Linked DNA regions of Saccharomyces cerevisiae S288C. The protein of the gene in region 1 interacts with the protein of each later gene in a biochemical or structural test. Each region holds a gene or a part of one and is shown on either strand. Other genes may lie near its edges.

Region 1 (8,087 bases):
AGTATCTGAGTGGTTTAAGAGGGCAATCTGGCCTTGCGGGCAGTAGCTCATCAAGTAATATCTTGGGCACTCGCCAAAGAGCTCAGTCCACAAGTTCCTTGAAGTCTTTAAAGGGGTCCTCCTCACCCTCTTCATGTACTTTAGATAAGGGCAACTACGATTTTCCCTTTAGTGCTATTTTGCCTGGTTCGTTACCAGAGAGCGTAGAATCTTTGCCAAATTGCTTCGTGACATATAGCATGGAATCCGTTATTGAACGCAGCAAAAATTATAGTGATTTGATCTGTAGGAAAAATATTAGAGTTCTGAGAACCATTTCACCCGCAGCAGTGGAGTTATCAGAAACTGTTTGTGTAGATAACTCATGGCCCGACAAAGTGGATTATTCTATTTCAGTACCCAACAAAGCCGTAGCTATTGGTTCAGCCACCCCTATAAATATTTCCATTGTACCTCTTTCGAAAGGTTTGAAATTGGGCTCAATCAAAGTCGTATTATTTGAGAATTATCAATATTGTGACCCCTTCCCTCCAGTAATTTCTGAAAATAGGCAAGTGACAGAACTAAATCTTGAAGATCCCTTGAACGAGTCATCTGGAGAATTTAATGGTAATGGTTGCTTTGTAAATAACCCCTTTTTTCAGCCTGATCATTCATTCCAAGACAAGTGGGAGATTGATACCATCCTGCAAATCCCGAACAGCTTATCAAACTGTGTGCAAGATTGTGATGTCCGCTCTAACATTAAGGTTCGCCATAAGCTCAAATTTTTCATCATCCTAATTAACCCAGATGGTCATAAATCTGAGTTAAGAGCGTCCTTACCGATTCAACTTTTTATTTCACCATTTGTGGCACTTTCAATAAAACCATTGTCATCCTCGAATTTGTATTCGCTTTTTAGCACCACTAACCAGAAAGACGAAAACTCATCACAAGAAGAGGAAGAGGAATATCTGTTTTCTAGATCAGCATCAGTCACAGGGTTGGAATTATTAGCGGATATGCGTAGCGGTGGCTCTGTTCCTACCATTTCAGACTTGATGACGCCCCCAAATTATGAAATGCACGTATATGATCGTCTTTATAGCGGTTCTTTCACTCGCACGGCTGTGGAAACGTCTGGAACATGTACTCCTTTGGGAAGCGAATGTTCGACTGTCGAGGATCAGCAACAGGATTTAGAAGATTTACGTATACGGTTGACAAAAATTAGAAATCAACGTGACAATCTAGGGCTACCACCGTCTGCCTCGTCTGCTGCCGCTTCCAGATCGCTATCTCCATTACTAAACGTTCCAGCACCAGAGGATGGCACGGAGAGAATCTTACCTCAGAGTGCTCTTGGTCCCAATAGTGGCTCTGTGCCAGGAGTACATAGTAACGTATCACCTGTTTTACTTTCAAGATCCCCAGCCCCAAGCGTGTCAGCCCATGAAGTGTTACCAGTGCCCTCGGGCTTAAATTATCCAGAGACTCAAAACCTGAACAAGGTTCCATCGTATGGCAAGGCAATGAAATATGATATCATTGGTGAGGACCTTCCTCCTTCCTACCCTTGTGCGATACAAAATGTGCAACCAAGAAAACCCAGTAGGGTACATTCCAGGAACTCTTCGACAACATTGTCATCTTCTATACCAACTAGCTTTCATTCCTCTAGTTTTATGAGTAGCACTGCTTCCCCTATTTCCATAATTAATGGCTCTAGAAGTAGTTCTAGTGGGGTATCTCTTAATACACTTAATGAGTTAACTTCGAAAACTTCGAATAACCCATCCAGTAATAGTATGAAAAGGTCACCAACAAGACGGAGGGCTACTTCTTTAGCTGGGTTTATGGGAGGTTTTCTATCAAAGGGTAACAAACGATAGTCGCCGATATTGTTTCGGCTCGTGCATTAAGCTTGTATAGTTTCATATAGAAAGTGATGTATATAGCATTTACGCACTCTAACTGGCATTTTAAAGAAAAAGGGATAAATGCAATGTTTGGCGTGCGGCAGTATAAGTTCAAAAAAATCCACTGCATTGTTGAAAAGAGTCAGGTCGATCCTGCTATTGGTTTTCAGTTTGAGGGATCCTTTGATTTGCTAGATATCATAAGATAAATGGTCCACCATAAAGTAATTAAATCTTGAAATTAAATTCTTATTCCATTAGAGACAGAGAAACTATTCATTGTACATTCTCCAAATGTGGTGATATAAACACTACATTCGCTAAATTACATTATATTATTTCGAGCTTTGTCTTGTTTATATTTAGTTACGTTGGGATCAAGTTTTAAAAAACTAGATCTGGAGTGACCAAAAAAAAAATACCCAGCGTAAGGTAAATATTATGGATATGCTTTGGAAGAAAAGAATTTTGAGACTTACACATTATTCGGCACAGTAGGTACTAGAAAGCATAGAATCACATTCGCCTTTAAAGACATTCTTTTTTCTTGCTCCTTCTATGGACTGCGACACAATAGTTGTTTTTGTGTCGTACCGAAGAAAAAGCCTTGTGCAGAAAGCAAAAATAGTACACTTCTAGCCTTGATTACCAAGAGTTATGACAAAAATTTGCAGTTCAGAGTATACCTTAAAAACTGTTCCTAAGGTCAAATAAAGAGGAAAATAATCAAACTAATTATTCATTAATTGAACGAACCAATAATAACGAGAGAATCAGTATCACAAAAAAAATTTCAACCTACAAGAGGAAACATGTATTCTATTTCAAACAAAAAACCTTCTATACTCAGTATGGTTCCCCTGAATATTTTGAAAAACCAGGATTTGAAAGTAAAAAAAGATCAAGAAAAGAAAATATCATTTAACCCCGTAGTTACTCCTATTAGGCCAGACGACTACCACGAAAAAACATCCAGATCGTCAAGTTCGAGCCATTCTGATTCACCTGAATTTTTGAGAATTAACAACAACAAATCCGGTCACAAGAATGGAAAATTGAAAAGTTTTGAAAGTAAAAAACTAGTTCCGCTATTCATTGGTGACCTCCATGAAACAGTTACTGAAGAAACTTTAAAAGGGATCTTCAAAAAATATCCCTCTTTTGTCTCTGCTAAAGTTTGTCTTGATTCAGTGACAAAAAAATCACTGGGCCATGGTTACTTAAATTTTGAAGACAAAGAAGAAGCTGAAAAGGCTATGGAAGAATTAAATTACACGAAGGTTAATGGTAAAGAAATTAGGATTATGCCATCATTGAGGAATACAACGTTTAGAAAGAATTTCGGCACTAATGTCTTTTTCTCTAATCTACCTCTAAATAATCCATTATTAACAACAAGAGTATTCTATGATACGTTTTCTAGATATGGTAAAATTCTATCATGCAAATTAGACTCTAGGAAAGATATAGGATTTGTTTACTTTGAGGACGAAAAAACTGCGAGAAATGTGATCAAAATGTACAATAATACCAGTTTTTTTGGTAAGAAAATTCTATGTGGAATACATTTTGATAAAGAGGTCAGAAGTGTTCCAAATTTTGAAACACAAAAATCACGATTAGATGCGGAAACAATTATTGAAAAAGAGCAATCTTTGAATGAGAAACACTCCAAGGGGAATGATAAGGAATCTAAAAATATTTACTCTTCATCCCAAAATTCTATATTCATCAAAAACCTTCCAACAATAACTACAAGGGATGATATTTTAAATTTCTTCAGTGAAGTGGGTCCAATTAAGTCAATTTATCTATCCAATGCCACTAAAGTTAAATATCTTTGGGCATTTGTTACATATAAAAATAGCAGTGACTCAGAAAAGGCAATTAAACGCTACAATAATTTTTATTTCAGAGGTAAAAAGCTTTTAGTAACCAGGGCACAGGATAAAGAAGAAAGAGCCAAATTTATAGAATCTCAAAAAATATCTACACTTTTCCTGGAAAATTTAAGCGCTGTCTGCAATAAGGAATTTCTTAAATATTTATGTCACCAAGAAAATATTAGACCGTTCAAGATTCAGATAGATGGATATGACGAAAATTCTTCTACATATTCTGGGTTCATCAAATTCAGGAATTTTGAAGATGCTACGAGAATATTTAACTTTTTGAATAACCGTTTAGTAGGAGGAAGCATCGTCACGACATCTTGGGAAAGACAAAATAATGCACCTAAATATCATGATGGTTATGGAATGCGCAATATACACACCTCTTCTCATCCACAAATTACCCCATATTACCAGTACTCACATGCGAATAGTTTGAACTCCCCACACATGAGAGATCTTTCGTCAATGAATAGCAGCACAAGATCACTAATAAAGAATAAAAATTTCAATAAGAAAGTTTTGGAAACATTCGAAAAGCAAGTAAGAAGAGGTATAGATTTCATGAGATTTCCAAGTGCCACTAGAGACGAAAATGTGCACGGAATAGCTGAGTATATATTCGACACTTATTGGAATCGCGATGTGTTAATATTGGACAAATTTTTATCGTTGCTAAATAGTAGTCCATATCATGAAGGTGTATTGCAAAAACAAATTGAAGAGGCTGCAAGCTCGTTAGGATTTAAAAGATGAATGTCTCTTTGTTAATTTAGCTAGAGTTTTCCTTATTTATTTTTTTTATTTACACTAATTCAATCTTTTTCGTTATATTTAGATATTATTAAAAATTATTATTATGGAAAAAATTCTTAAAAGGATAGACAGAGGGACGCCGTCTGCTATATGATATGTATTTAGGTCCGAGTGCTGATAAACTGTAAGGCAAAAGGTATAAGTGTAAATCAATAACGTTTCTCGTATTCTTTACTCTCCTTCAAATTTTTTAAACTAGTTCAACGTAATTTGCTGGGAATATACCTTCTCTACCGTTGACTCTTCCGGTCCACCAGTCATTTTGAGAATCTGATTTTTTCAAAATTGTGATCACGTCACCCTTTCTGAATGGTAAATCTCCGGACTCTTCTCCTGCAAAGCTATATAATGCCACGGCCTTTGGAGAAGACGTGGATGGGGATGTTGGAGCAGTGAATCTGCCCTGACTAGTTTGCGGTGTTGAAGCGGACGAGATTCTAGATTTAGAAAATCTGTTCGACAAGTCATCGACTTCACGGTCTTTTGTCCTATCTCTTCCATTCCCGCGTCTATACCCGGATTCATAATCATCATCATAATCATCGTATTCATCATCAGCCCAACGATTTCTTGAAGAACGAGCCCTTGACTGAGCAGTTCCTGATCTTCTGTGGCTGGCATAATAACTTGAAGCTCCAGATGGGTCATCCAATTTACCACCACTACCGCCACTGTTGGTAGGAGCCAGTCTTGAATTCCTTGAATAGCCAGTACCATAATCATCATCGTCATCATCATCGTCGAACGTATAACGAGAACCGCTTTGGGCTCTTCTCCTTGTGGATCTTGTGTTAGGTCTAGTGGAGGAAGCATCTGTAGAACTGAATGAACTAGGAATGTCATTATAGTAATCGTCGTCGTCATAGTAATCGTCTTCGTCGTCATCGAAACTGCCACGACCACCGTTGGAGGGTCTGTAATTAAACGCCCTGGACTCTAAAACACGAAACAATGGATCAACTGCTGGAGGCGGTCTTATCCTACCAGACAAAATCATTTTCGCGGTACAATTGTCACCATAAAATTTTCTGTTAGCCTCTCTTCTTTCTATAATAGCCGAACCTTCCACAGAAACCCCTGCAAATAGACCTTTACTCTTAGAATAGGCAAAAACTGCAGCCACACCACCGGCGGAGGCTGATGCAGCTGCTTCTGCACTTCTACCAAGAGGCCCAGCAGAAACGGAGACGTTACCACCCAACGTGATGGTCCCAAATTCAGAAAACGACTTAACAGCATCCTGAGTATTTAAAATGAAAACAAAATCAGTCAATTCTATACCAACCATCCCACCGGCACCAGCACCTGCCATGGCAATGGCAGATGGAGCTGACCAAGTACCATCCTTTAATCTTGCGACAATCACACCAGAACCAGCTCTACCTGAAAATAGAAAACCTGCTTTTAAGATCGTTATGATAGCCAACCCTTTAGCTCTTTTCAAAACGTCTGGAGGAATGACTTGGTCCGCACCAAAAACTTGGTTTGGTTTGACAAAACTAGCCAAAATCTTCGCTGCTTTTCTTTATTAATTGTTTATTACTAGTTAGTAAATGATGAACAAATTAAGGGAGAACTTTTTTAAAGGTTTCCCAGCCAAACCCGTATAAAACATACTTTGTCTCACTCTTTAAACTCCTTGGAATAGGATTGTTAATACCCATTGCGTGTGATACAGCTTTTGTTTTTGATTTCTTTGCCACCCGTGATCCAAAGCCGTTCTAGATTTCTTCGATAGTTTATACTCTTTCATGTTGAACTTCCAGATGCGGCCGAGTCGGCGAGCAAACAGGGTGCTGCTACTAAACGAACAATAAAGAAAGACAATTTGGGCACCCAATATAAAATGAGCAGTCAATTCAATCAATTCAGTGTGAAATTTTTTTCTTGGAAAGATCATTCACTTCTACACAGCTGTACATGAGTTTATATGACAGTTTTTTTTTATGTACATCCAGTTCAAGATAATCAGATTATATATTGGCCCAAAAGGGATCATTAACGAATTGCGAAATGGGTAATCTCTTTACAGTTAACAGATTCTCTGGTGATTGGCTTTCCTCAAGGTAGCAAATATACTCTAATTGTAGCACGTCTACTATGTATTTCTTTACCTTGTCATAGCACACACCCACTTGCGCCACGCCGTGTGCGTCATCACTTAGAACAAATCTGGATCCACAGTGCTTCTTGACCAGATTACATAAGGTTTTGCTGGGGTACGGCTCCTCGAGGCGCTTTCTTAATGCGGACGTATTGATTTCAATTGCGCCGCCATAGGAGTCTATAAATTGTAAATTTCTTACAACTGCATCGTATATTTCTGGCCATTCACTGATGACGTCCAGTGAAGCTACAGGAACTCCGGTTTCTTCGTTGCAGTTGCCCGATTTCTGGTTTACTAGCATGTCATTGGGCAAAAATAATTTGTAAAGGTCGAAGTGACCCACGACCAACGGTTTAATATTGATCAGCATTTCGTACTGTGATTGGAAGTAAGACAGGAGAAAATGTTTCAAATTATCATTGAAGGAATGCAATGAATTGTACCATTGTTGTTGGTCGAAATCAATAGGGATCCCGTTGACGTGATGGACCGAACCCACACAAAACTTCAAAATATCATTATTCTCCTTCATGAGTCGCTTTGCATATTCGATATGAGCCATGTCACAACTTTCGATCTCCATTCCTATAATGAATTTAGTCCGCACATCGGGTCTATCAGCATAACGAGTCTTGATTTCTTGCGCATGACTCATGAAATTCTTGAACGATGTTTCTAGCTTGGTTATGACTTCCTCAGGATTCTTGCCCAATGACTGCTCTTCGGGGTATATAAACTTGGCCTCAATTCTTGGTATGTGCTCTGTCAAACAGTACGTGTGAAAGTTGAGGTTGACCACTTGATCGACCACGGAATCCAAAGGGTCCGTACCGTGGGCACTATAGTCACCGGAGTGTGAATGGTGTGAGTGCATGACCTCGAGGATTTTTACTGAATTGTACGTATCAAGAAGTACTAAAATGTGTTTGAAAGGGAAAGATTGTACGGGAAATGGAAAATGTACATATAATATCCAGTATCATTTGAGTTGATAGAGATTATCTCTATAGATAGAGAGATTTGACAAAAAAAATAAAAAAATTTAAATGGACGAGTCCGGAATCGAACCGGAGACCTCTCCCATGCTAAGGGAGCGCGCTACCGACTACGCCACACGCCCGAACGTTTGTTGAAATCTTCCAAACAGAAATGATACAGGTTTACTTTACAGCAAGACATTAGTAGTTTCATTAGCTTATCAACATGTATGAAACCGGCAAGATTGAAAGCTTGATTGCCCTTGACGAGCTACTCAAATGTGTAAATATCTGCACAATCAGTTTACACTCATGTTTCCGCGCTTTTACCCTCCATCTAGATTAAAATCTTATATGGATTATTTGGGATAAATAGCATTTAGTAAATCAAATT
Region 2 (10,448 bases), on another chromosome or scaffold:
AATTGGAAGAGGAAGCAGCTGGGAAATTAGAAACAATCCACGCATCAGCTATGGCAAAGAGCAAAAAAAAAACAGATGTTGTCGATTCAACAAACCTGCCCATTCTAGAATTACTATCATTAAAAGCTCCCATTTTCCAGTCTCTTTTACATCCTGAACTGCCCATTATAATAACTGGCTTTGGTACAGGACATATTGTGTGCCATCGTTATGACCCCGCTAAGTTGCAATCGCACCTAGATCGTAGACGTAGAATTGACACTGCAACTACAGGCAAGGATGCAAAGAAAGGTGTATGCCCTTGGATTAGATTAGATATAGACCTAGAAACTGGAGATTTGAAATTTGTTGATATTGAAGAACAACAGCAACAAAAGCAAACAGGAAAAGATGAAGACTTGGGCGTAAAAACACTTTGGAAGACTAAAAGACATAAAGGTAGTGTCCGTGCCATGTGCTTTGATTCTAAAGGTGACAATATTTTTTCTGTTGGATCGGATAATGTTTTAAAAAAGGCCAATACTATGACCGGCAAAGTCGTCAAAAAGGTAAACTTAAGCTCACTGTTTAATTCTGAAGAGAAAAAAAATGATAAATTTACGAAATTATGCGCCTCTCAAACTCACCCATTCATTTTAATAGGCGATGAATCCGGTAATATACACGTAATAAACTCGGAAAACTTGGCATTATCAAATTCCATTCGTTCGATACATTTTGGCGACTCTATCAACGATATTTTCCACTTTGATAAAAGATCTGCATATAAATTCATTTCTTTGGGCCAGACAACGTTAGCTTATTTTGACGTTCGCGACAAAGATGCCAAACCGAACGTAGCTGGAAACGAGGATGGTAAAATTTTGATCAGCGATGATCAGGAGGACGAAGTTCTTTGTGGTTGTTTCGTCGATCCCGAAGTAGCAGATACCCTTTTGTGTGGGATGGGCGAGGGTATTGTTACCGTCTGGAAACCGAATAAGAATGATTTGGAAGATCAAATGAGCCGTATTAAAATTAGCAAAGATGAAAGTATCGATTGCATTGTTCCTACTTTACAAGATGATAACTGTGTATGGTGTGGTTGTTCCAATGGTAACATTTATAAAGTAAATGCCAAATTGGGAAAAGTCGTCGAGATAAGAAACCACAGTGAATTGGATGAAGTCAGTTTTGTTGATCTAGATTTTGAATACCGTGTTGTTTCTGGTGGTTTGGAAAACATCAAGATATGGGAATTATCGAGTGATGATGTAGAGGAAAATGCATCGGTAGAGTCCGATAGCGACGAACCCCTCTCCCACTCTGATGAGGATCTAAGTGATGACACTAGTTCTGATGATGAAACGACGCTTGTCGGGCTCTCAAAGGAAGAGCTATTAGACGAATTAGATAAGGACCTCAAGGAAGATCATCAAGAGGAAAAAGAATCCAACTCAAAATCTGTCAAAAAAAGAAAAATAATGAAGGAGAACAACAAAAAAAAGGACCTGTATGAGCATGGGATCAAGAAGTTTGATGATTTATAGATTATTTCTTTTTTACTAAGAAAAACATATATCATTTATATTCAGAAATAAATAGGATTATTAACCTAGTGCTCCCAAAAAAAATAAGTTGAACTGTCTCTTTCGAGAAAAAGAAAGAGAAAAGAAATGGTCTCTAGCGGGATCGAACCGCTGATCCCCGCGTTATTAGCACGGTGCCTTAACCAACTGGGCCAAGAGACCATTATATTGTTAAAGATGTTGTATCTCAAAATGGGATACGTCAGTATGACAATACTTCATCCTAAACGTTCATAAAACACATATGAAACAACTTTATAACAAAACGAACAACATGAGGTAAAACCCGGCCTCCCCTAGCTGAACAACTCAAACGTATAAATGCCTGAACAATTAGTTTAGATCCGAGTTTCCGCGCTTCCACCATTTAGTATGATTCATATTTTATATAATATATAGGATAAGTAACATCCCGTGAATCAAGCTGATAAACAGTTTTGACAACTGGTTACTTCCCTAAGACTGTTTATATTAGGATTGTCAAGACACTCCGGTATTACTCGAGCCCGTAATACAACAGTGAGCTATTAAAAGAGCTTAAGTATTACAGAGTAATATCAATCATCAATCTTGGATCTAAAGTAATCGTCGAGACATTTATACACTTAAGTGATTCCTCTTTACAAGCGGAGCTTACTCTATATATTCATTCTTGTCAGTTTCATAACAGTTGTTTCATACGATTTCCACATGTGTCTCATATATATTTTATGTTTAGGTTAATAACTTTGGTAATGCTAAATTATCTTAATTTGACGTACACAAATTCTTCCTACTGTTATATATGTTCGAATTATCTTTTAAATTGTTGCTAAAAAAGTTAGAGTTATCACCAAATCAGTTGAGCAGATCACCATTATTCTTATGTAAATACTTGTTAAAAGAAGTAGCTTTCGCAAATACACCAATGCATTCGTTGATAATTTACGCAGTAACCTCTTACAGAACGCCTACATACAACTTAAACTCGTAATGTTCAGGCTTATAATGTCAGTATGCATTGTTACGCTTAGTATAGTTATTAAACTACGGACCAAATTATACTTTAAGCAGTAGTTAAAGAAAGAGATTAAATAAAGAATGATTTACAATCTAGTCGCAAAAACAAGTACAGTGCTGACGTCCCATCTTTTAATGCCTACTCTTTTGATGTTCACTTACATGTTACAATGAAGCCAAATCACAAACATTCAAATATATTCCATGGCCTCTTAGTTTGGCAACCCAAGACTCGGCATACCATATTGGTAACGCTGTATTGGAGAGATATATTCTAAAATATTGATAATTAATGGCAAAAAGGCAGTATTAATGAAGGTTGAATATGGATCTTAATATAATCGTATAAGAGGGGCATAAAATATACGCCGATTGGTTCAACATTAATTATGATCAATATAACAATGCGTCTGGTAATTACCATAACACTTAATGTAGCAACTCGTATAACAAACGTATCATGCTCAATTAATATAACCTTATCTCTGCTTCAGCACTGTCTGAGCTACTCTTTTAACGTTTCCTTTTGCAATAGGTACCTTCACACTAAAACATATACAATGGGTGCATTTAAATTGTTACCATAGCAACTCATATTACGATTCATTACCACTCATTTCAACACAACAACCTCTTGCTATCAAACTTACTTTTGCTTTTATTGCAGATATCTCGTTATTTCTGCAAAAACAGCATTCATTGGTAATGACAAGGTCAATTTTGGCTTTTATACATTTCACATGTACAGGATAGTGGAACACATTCCAAGGAGGTGAAGAACGTCCCCTTTGATACTTCCATACAAGGACGATTAAAAATACATAAGAGAACAGATCTGCAAAAATGCGTTTTACTTCCTTTACAATCTCAATGCCGATAAATAAGCGCAATGAAGATTACTCAGCAACTGTATGTTGGCTCATGCGAAATATGAATGTTTCATTCGAGATTACTTATCTTGTTTAACGCTTGAACAGCGTACTGTAACTTCTTGCTACAGAATGATGGACCCCATTATAATACTACCGCCTTGCGAATGCGCAATTTATTATGATCATGAACCCTGAGAAATCAAATGAATATTTAAAGTGTATGCAAAATGGACAAGAACATTATGGTAACATTGTCTACGACAGAATTTATTTTCTGACTTTAATAGTGACGGTTATACGAAATTAATGATTCTTCGAGAGGCAACTCACTTTACTGCAAATGGACCTGCAGAGTTTGCATCTAGAGGACAATATGCTGCACAAAAACGACCAATATTTACCTTCAACGAAAACAACCTTAAGAAACCCCTTCAACAACAACGCAGCTATCGTATCGTAGTGGTCTCCATAATGCGTGCACCTCCTTTAGCACTTATCGAGTAATAACATACGCTAGATAAGTAAAGTGTCCAGGATATTATAATTATATGATATTTCGGGAATGGTTTCTATATCTAGTTTTTTAACTTAGCCTAGACATTCGCCTCGTATTATAAAATACATGAAAGTGACTTGACTGCTTCATGAGAGTTATACTAAGAGCATTCATAACTAGAAGACACATTTTAGTTTTTATTACTGAGTAAGGGTTTAGTTTGTACATACAAGGCAACATGAAATTCAAGGTGCTGATGTTCAGTAAAGCCGCCTAGCTTTACGTGCCGAAATATTGATAATATGTCTCAGCCACTTCCTGGCTTAACTATTTAAATGATATTTCTGCATCCATCGGTATGGCGCACAATAAACGGTATCTGAGAATATCGAAAAGAACACCACAATACTACTGAGTGCAAACACAGAAGAGCGTAGGTGATTCAACTAATTGAGTTAGAAACTGCATCAACGCTGCATAATAAAGATGCTGCTGTTCAGGATCATTTTTTTTAAAGACTGAAAAAAATTGCTTATCGCTTTGCACGCGACTCTTTTTTCTATTATTTGAAAAATAGCTTAAGGGAAAAGAAAAGAATAGGTAGCTTTCAAAGCAAGAACCTCTACGATAAAGGACAAAGCTAGAAGCAAACACCGCAAAAAAAATGAGACCCGTTGTATCCACTGGTAAGGCATGGTGTTGTACCGTCCTATCGGCATTTGGTGTAGTAATTCTTTCCGTCATTGCTCATCTCTTCAACACAAACCATGAATCCTTTGTAGGATCAATAAACGATCCTGAAGATGGACCTGCGTATGTTATATTTTCTTATTTATTTCGCCGTTACCCATTTACCATCTCTTATATCTCTCCTCCTTACTAACAATTATATTTTAACCCTATTGTTTATAGTGTTGCACATACTGTTTATTTGGCTGCCTTGGTATACCTCGTGTTTTTCGTATTCTGTGGGTTCCAAGTTTACCTAGCCAGAAGAAAACCTTCGATCGAGTTGCGTTAGTCTTGAAGCCAATAGGATAATACCAAATGCATTAATATCGTCCAACTGTTCTATATACTTATCGTAACCTCGTTCCATGTGACATTCTTTTTTATTACACTTTTCGACAATAGCGAATTGAGTGAAATATTATGAAAGAATATATAGTATAAATATATACATTTATATATGAATTCTAATCAATAAAAGTCACAGTAACCAGCTTTTCCTAGCTTTTCGAAGTTTCGGAAGTATGACAAAATATGAGCGTGACCCTGAATTGGTGAACTTTCTATCGAAAGTGGAGGATTTGAACTCTAAGAGATACAGTAATATTCCTAGTTCAAAACCAGCGGGGGAAGCGCTTTCACCAGTTAGAAGTCACAACTCTGGGGAATACAGAAGGGCTGATATGATGACAGGGAAAAATGTGGAAGGTTGCGACAATTTGGCCTACCGATCTGCGTACAATTATGAAATGACGTTTTCTCCAAAGAAGACTCATTACTCATTAAGTGAGCTGAATCTCGAACGAATAACGCCAAGGCCGGATTTGGAGGGAAGTGCCTCTCAAAAAGAAAAAAAATTTTTAATTTCTGAAGAAGATTATTTATTATTGCAGAAATTGAAAGCCTCTCAAACATATAATGATTCCAATGCTGACAAAAATTTGCCTTCCTTTGAAAAAGGTCCTCGTATGCCCAGTCGGGGTCGACCCAGACCGAGAGAGAAGGAAATAATCACCATCCAATATGATTTTGAATTACCAGGAAGAGCCGATATACCCTCCTCCTCCTCTTCTTCATCACCACCGCCTTTGCCCACAAGGCGTGATCATATCAAAATCACAGATGGGAATGAAGAGAAACCGCTTCTTCCAACAAGGCCTAACAAAGCAGAAGTTACAGAAAGTCCGTCATCAAGGTCAATAAAACCGGATGCTGTGGTACCTGAGCGCGTTAAGCCTGCTCCACCTGTCTCACGCTCTACAAAACCGGCGAGCTTTTTAAGTTCTTTGGAAGATAACAAATTGACAAAGGCGAAGAGTTATAATTCGGAAATGGAAACTCCCAAAACAACTGTAAAAAGTTCTCATATCGATTACTTGGATTCCATACAACTAAAACCAACCACCTTATCTCCTACAATGAAAAATAAACCTAAACCAACCCCTCCTTCTCCACCTGCGAAAAGAATTCCAAGATCTGAAAGTTTTATCAAGTCTATGCTAAACTCGAATCTCACGACAACTTCCAAGCCTTCTTTGCCTGAAAAACCTCAAAAGCTACGGAATGCAAATTTGGCCGCCCATAAGACCAAACCAAGCATACCGCCAAAGAAAGTGGAGTTGAATATAGTATTACCTGAGCTACGTCCCGTAGAAACTTCTCCAACAAAGCAGAACTTCGAAAACTCAATCGATTTGCCCAAGTTACGATCCAGCAACCGTAACATTAAAAAAGAAGAGGAGGACAGTATTCCAGAAGCAATAAAAGGTATACAAAATCTGAAGAAAACCAAACAGCAGAAGCCTGCAATCCCTCAGAAAAAATCATTTCTAACAAATAATTCGAAAAATACTACACTCAAAAATGGTGATGATATTAACAAGTTAAATGACGAAATTGAAGCTCTATCATTGCGGAATAACCTGAAGAAACGGCCACCAACGGCGCCACAACGTAAAATTTCTTTGCCAGAGGCATTGCGAAAAGTCGAATTGATGAAAAAATCTAAAACCGAGCCTGTTTTAGAGTCCTCAAACGAACTGAGCATAAACGCAAAATTAGACGCAATAATTGCCTCTAGAAACTTAAGAGCATCTAATACTCTACCAGAACTTAGCGGTGTTAACACTAATATTGCAACTTCTGACAAGTATACTACTTCTAGAGATGAAACAGTGAAGGAAACTAAACCATTAGTTCACCCGAATAAAAATAGGACTCGTGGTCCCAGAAGAAAACTTCCAACACGCGTGTAACTACAGAGTAGACCTCCGTATTTTACACATGTATGTACGTACATATGATGTAACAATAATATGATAATTTAATGGGATACATGTATTATCGTCACTTCCCACGTTTGCGCTTTGACATTTGCTCCCCTTATGAACCTGAAGGAATATAAATCATCGATCTTTTTGCTACACTTTTCCTCCCTTATTAGAAAATAGCAGTAAAATTACAGGCTATTCAAACCCTGAAACATCTCAATTATGGCTTGGACTAGTACATTACCAGCGCATCTACTGAACCTGATCAAAAACTCCAAATATGTTCACGTGGCCACCTGTTCTAAAGACTGCATCCCTTCAGTGGCATTGATGAACTATATCTATGTGCCAGGTGAAAAACTGTTCGGTCAAACAGATAATAAGAATGACTACATTATATTTGTTTCTCCTCAGGACACACAAAAGTTTTACAACATCAAGGAGAACCCTAAGGTCGCCCTGTTGTTTCACGATTGGATCATCGCGAATAATTTGTCAGTGGGCAAGGAAAGCATCTCTGGGACTCCGACGCCGACTTCTATTCCTCATGAAGAGCAACGTCAAAGCGAGCTTTTAAATTTGTTACAGGAGTTAAATCAAGCCGAATTGAACCAAATGAGCGCATCTATTGGTGGCGAAACCGAAATTGTCAATCCTGAAAGTGAAGAATCCAAGTACTATAAAGATTTAATACTAAAGGCTAATCCTGATGCGAAAGCTTTTATATTTGAAAAGAACACCGCCGTTGTTAAAGTTAGAATTGATAATGCTAGGGTATCCAATAATGAGAACAGAACAATGTTTCTAAGTAAAGGGAAGAGTTAACTGTCCTCTGCTTTTCTTTATCTATTTTGCATACGATTCTGTATTTAATTATTCTGTTTTTTTTTTTTTTTTATTTTTTATTTTCATGTACACAAGAAATCTACATTAGCACGTTAATCAATTGACTAGTTACCTTCTTGACCAAAATCTCTAGTGAACTGTTCTTGCTTCAGCAAGTCATCCTCATTCACGGTAGGTCTCGTCGATTTGATAGCCTTTAAGAAATCCTTTATGGTGAGATCTGGTTCTTTTAATTCATCAGCTTCAATATCCGTCCAACTCATCTCGATGGCGCCATCATCACCTGGAGAGCATGGTGTTAGTTTTCTTGTTTCGTCGTCCTCCGTAGAGACATCTTTGAAATGTGTCGCGCTTTGAATTTTTCTTATCGGTTGCATTAGCGCATCTTTCACCACTACAGCAATATCACTCCCGGAATAACCTTCAGTCATTGCACCTAAAGTTCTATAATCTTCCTTGGTCAATACGCATGGAGTGTCGCCGACGTTAATCTCGAACATGGTGGTTCTTGCCGCCAAATCTGGTAATGGTATATATATTCTTCTTTCAAATCTTCTCCTGATGGCACTGTCCAGTTGCCATGGGATATTTGTTGCGCCAAGGACCAAAACACCTTGGGAGTCATTCCCAACACCATTCATTTGTACCAATAATTCTGTTTTAATTCTTCTACTTGCTTCGCTCTCTCCTTCTCCTCTGGTACCTGTTAGCGCATCCACTTCATCTATAAAAATAATAGAAGGTTTATTTTCTCTTGCCATCGCAAATAACTGTTTGACAAGTTTTTCAGATTCACCCATCCACTTAGAAACCAAATCACTGGAACTAACACTGAAAAAGGTAGAATTGGCCTCGGTGGCCACTGCTTTTGCCAAATATGATTTACCTGTACCTGGTGGTCCGTACAATAAGATTCCCGAAGTGGGCTTACGGTTACCTTTGAACAAATGTGGGAACTTGACAGGTAAAATAACGGCTTCTTTAAGGGCCTCTTTGGCTCCTTCCAGTCCAGCCACGTCTTCCCACTTAACATTGGGCTTCTCAGACAAAATAGCACTCGATAAGGCACCTCTTAGCTTTTTGTTGTCTTCTCCACCATTATCCTCACCCTCTTCCTGAGAGATTTTCTTATTACCACCGTTGGAACCACTACCAGCGCTAGGAGATTTCTTTGCCGCGTTTGCCTCTTCACTTTCCAAGTGCTTTTTCAACTGCTCTGCACGGTTTAGATACTCTGTAAACTTCGCTCTTATCAAATCCTTCGACTTAGGGTTTTTCTCGTATTTCAAAGCCAACATCAAATAATCTAATCCGTTATAGTATGCTGTATACGCCTCCTCATACTGCGTGGCTGTGTCCAGGTCAATGGCCTTTTGAACCAGTTCTATTCCCTTAGTTAAAAAATCTCCCGTGCTCATTTGTACCCCATCTACTATAGGCACTCTATGCTGCTTTATTTTTGTCTTCCATGTCCTCAACCCACGATTAAATCGTTCGATATCATGAAGTTCTTATTTTTTTTTTTTTTTCACCCAGCGGGGGTACCCGTAAAGCAATACAATAAATATCATCAAGCAAGAATAAATAGATGTACAGAAAGAACAACCATGACGTGTTGTGTTTCTATTCAGCGTGCGGAACCGAATCCTCAGTCGGAGATTCTCTGAGAATGTTCGTTTGAGGAAGCTTAGGATACTTGGCGTAGAAGTTGGGGCCCTTTGGGGGCTGTAGGGAAGAAACTGGTCGTTGGCGCGACTGGAGTGGCGACATGTGAATCGGACTTGAAGTCACTAACGGGTTTACTGCTCTTACTGGCGAAGGTGGTAAATTTTCTGTCGGTTTGAGGTTGTCTCGCTCAATATTTTTCATGTCTCGACGAGACTCCAGGTATCTTTGATCGATGTTTGCGTCGTCCAACACCGACTGCAACAGATGACACTTTTCCTTGACAAATTGTAGTTCCTTTTGTGTAGAGTGCAGCTGCTGCCGCAATTGCGCAAACTTTGCTTGCCATTGTAGAGGCACACAATCCTGAGAATTTTTAGACAATGGGACAACGCTTTCTTCTTCCTCATCTGCGGGAGACCCCCATACAAACGCTTGGATCTTGGCAAGAGTCTTAGCAATATTGAATCCAAACGCGTGTTGTTGAGCCCTCTTTTTGGAGATATTCTTGTAGTTTTTAGAACGTGTCCTTTGTGAAGCGTGTCTAACATGATTTCTTTCGCGAGGCACAACCACCAATTTGCGCTCTTTTCGTATCCCCAATGTCTTTTCCTGAATTCCCATTGTGATCTTCAATGCCAACCCAACCTTCTTTTTACTTTGTTGGGTCTAAATTATGTTACTTTGTCCATTTCATCTCTTTTCAAGATGGAATCTAAAAGAAGAAAAACGACAAAAGGAACAAAAGTGATGTGACGCGTTATTTTTCGCGTGACATAATAGAAAAATATTTCAACTGGGCATCTTTAACACATGTTACAATAAAGTTGAGATGACTTGTTTATGCCTTTAAAGTTTGTAAGTGGAACTAGAAGCGTCTATGTGTGAAATGTTTGGCTCTGGGAATGTTCTGCCTGTTAAAATTCAGCCTCCGCTGCTTAGGCCACTGGCGTATAGAGTTTTATCAAGAAAATATGGTTTATCAATTAAATCTGATGGACTG

What was found.
Region 2: the proteins of LSB3 (region 1) and BSP1 interact in a test that uses a peptide from one of them, tested with the Saccharomyces cerevisiae proteins (one study listed by BioGRID).

The regions. Positions count from the first base shown.
Region 1 is NC_001138.5:197,161-205,247, forward strand, and holds LSB3 (Lsb3p), read right to left. Parts: upstream 6,274-8,087; coding exon 6,227-6,273; intron 6,133-6,226; coding exon 4,800-6,132; downstream 1-4,799. Other genes in the region: ROG3 (Rog3p), read left to right, coding at 1-1,874; PES4 (Pes4p), read left to right, coding at 2,714-4,549; HIS2 (histidinol-phosphatase), read right to left, coding at 6,583-7,590.
Region 2 is NC_001148.4:878,640-889,087, forward strand, and holds BSP1 (Bsp1p), read left to right. Parts: upstream 1-5,188; coding exon 5,189-6,919; downstream 6,920-10,448. Other genes in the region: JIP5 (Jip5p), read left to right, coding at 51-1,529; YPR170W-B (uncharacterized protein), read left to right, coding at 4,600-4,748, 4,848-4,956; YPR172W (pyridoxal 5'-phosphate synthase), read left to right, coding at 7,157-7,759; AAA family ATPase VPS4, read right to left, coding at 7,885-9,198; CSA1 (Csa1p), read right to left, coding at 9,404-10,069; DPB2 (DNA polymerase epsilon noncatalytic subunit), read left to right, coding at 10,335-10,448. UniProt on the Saccharomyces cerevisiae protein: Recruits the capping protein complex to actin patches and the actomyosin contractile ring, and/or stabilizes their interaction. May serve as an adapter to link INP52 and INP53 to the cortical actin cytoskeleton. Binds F-actin.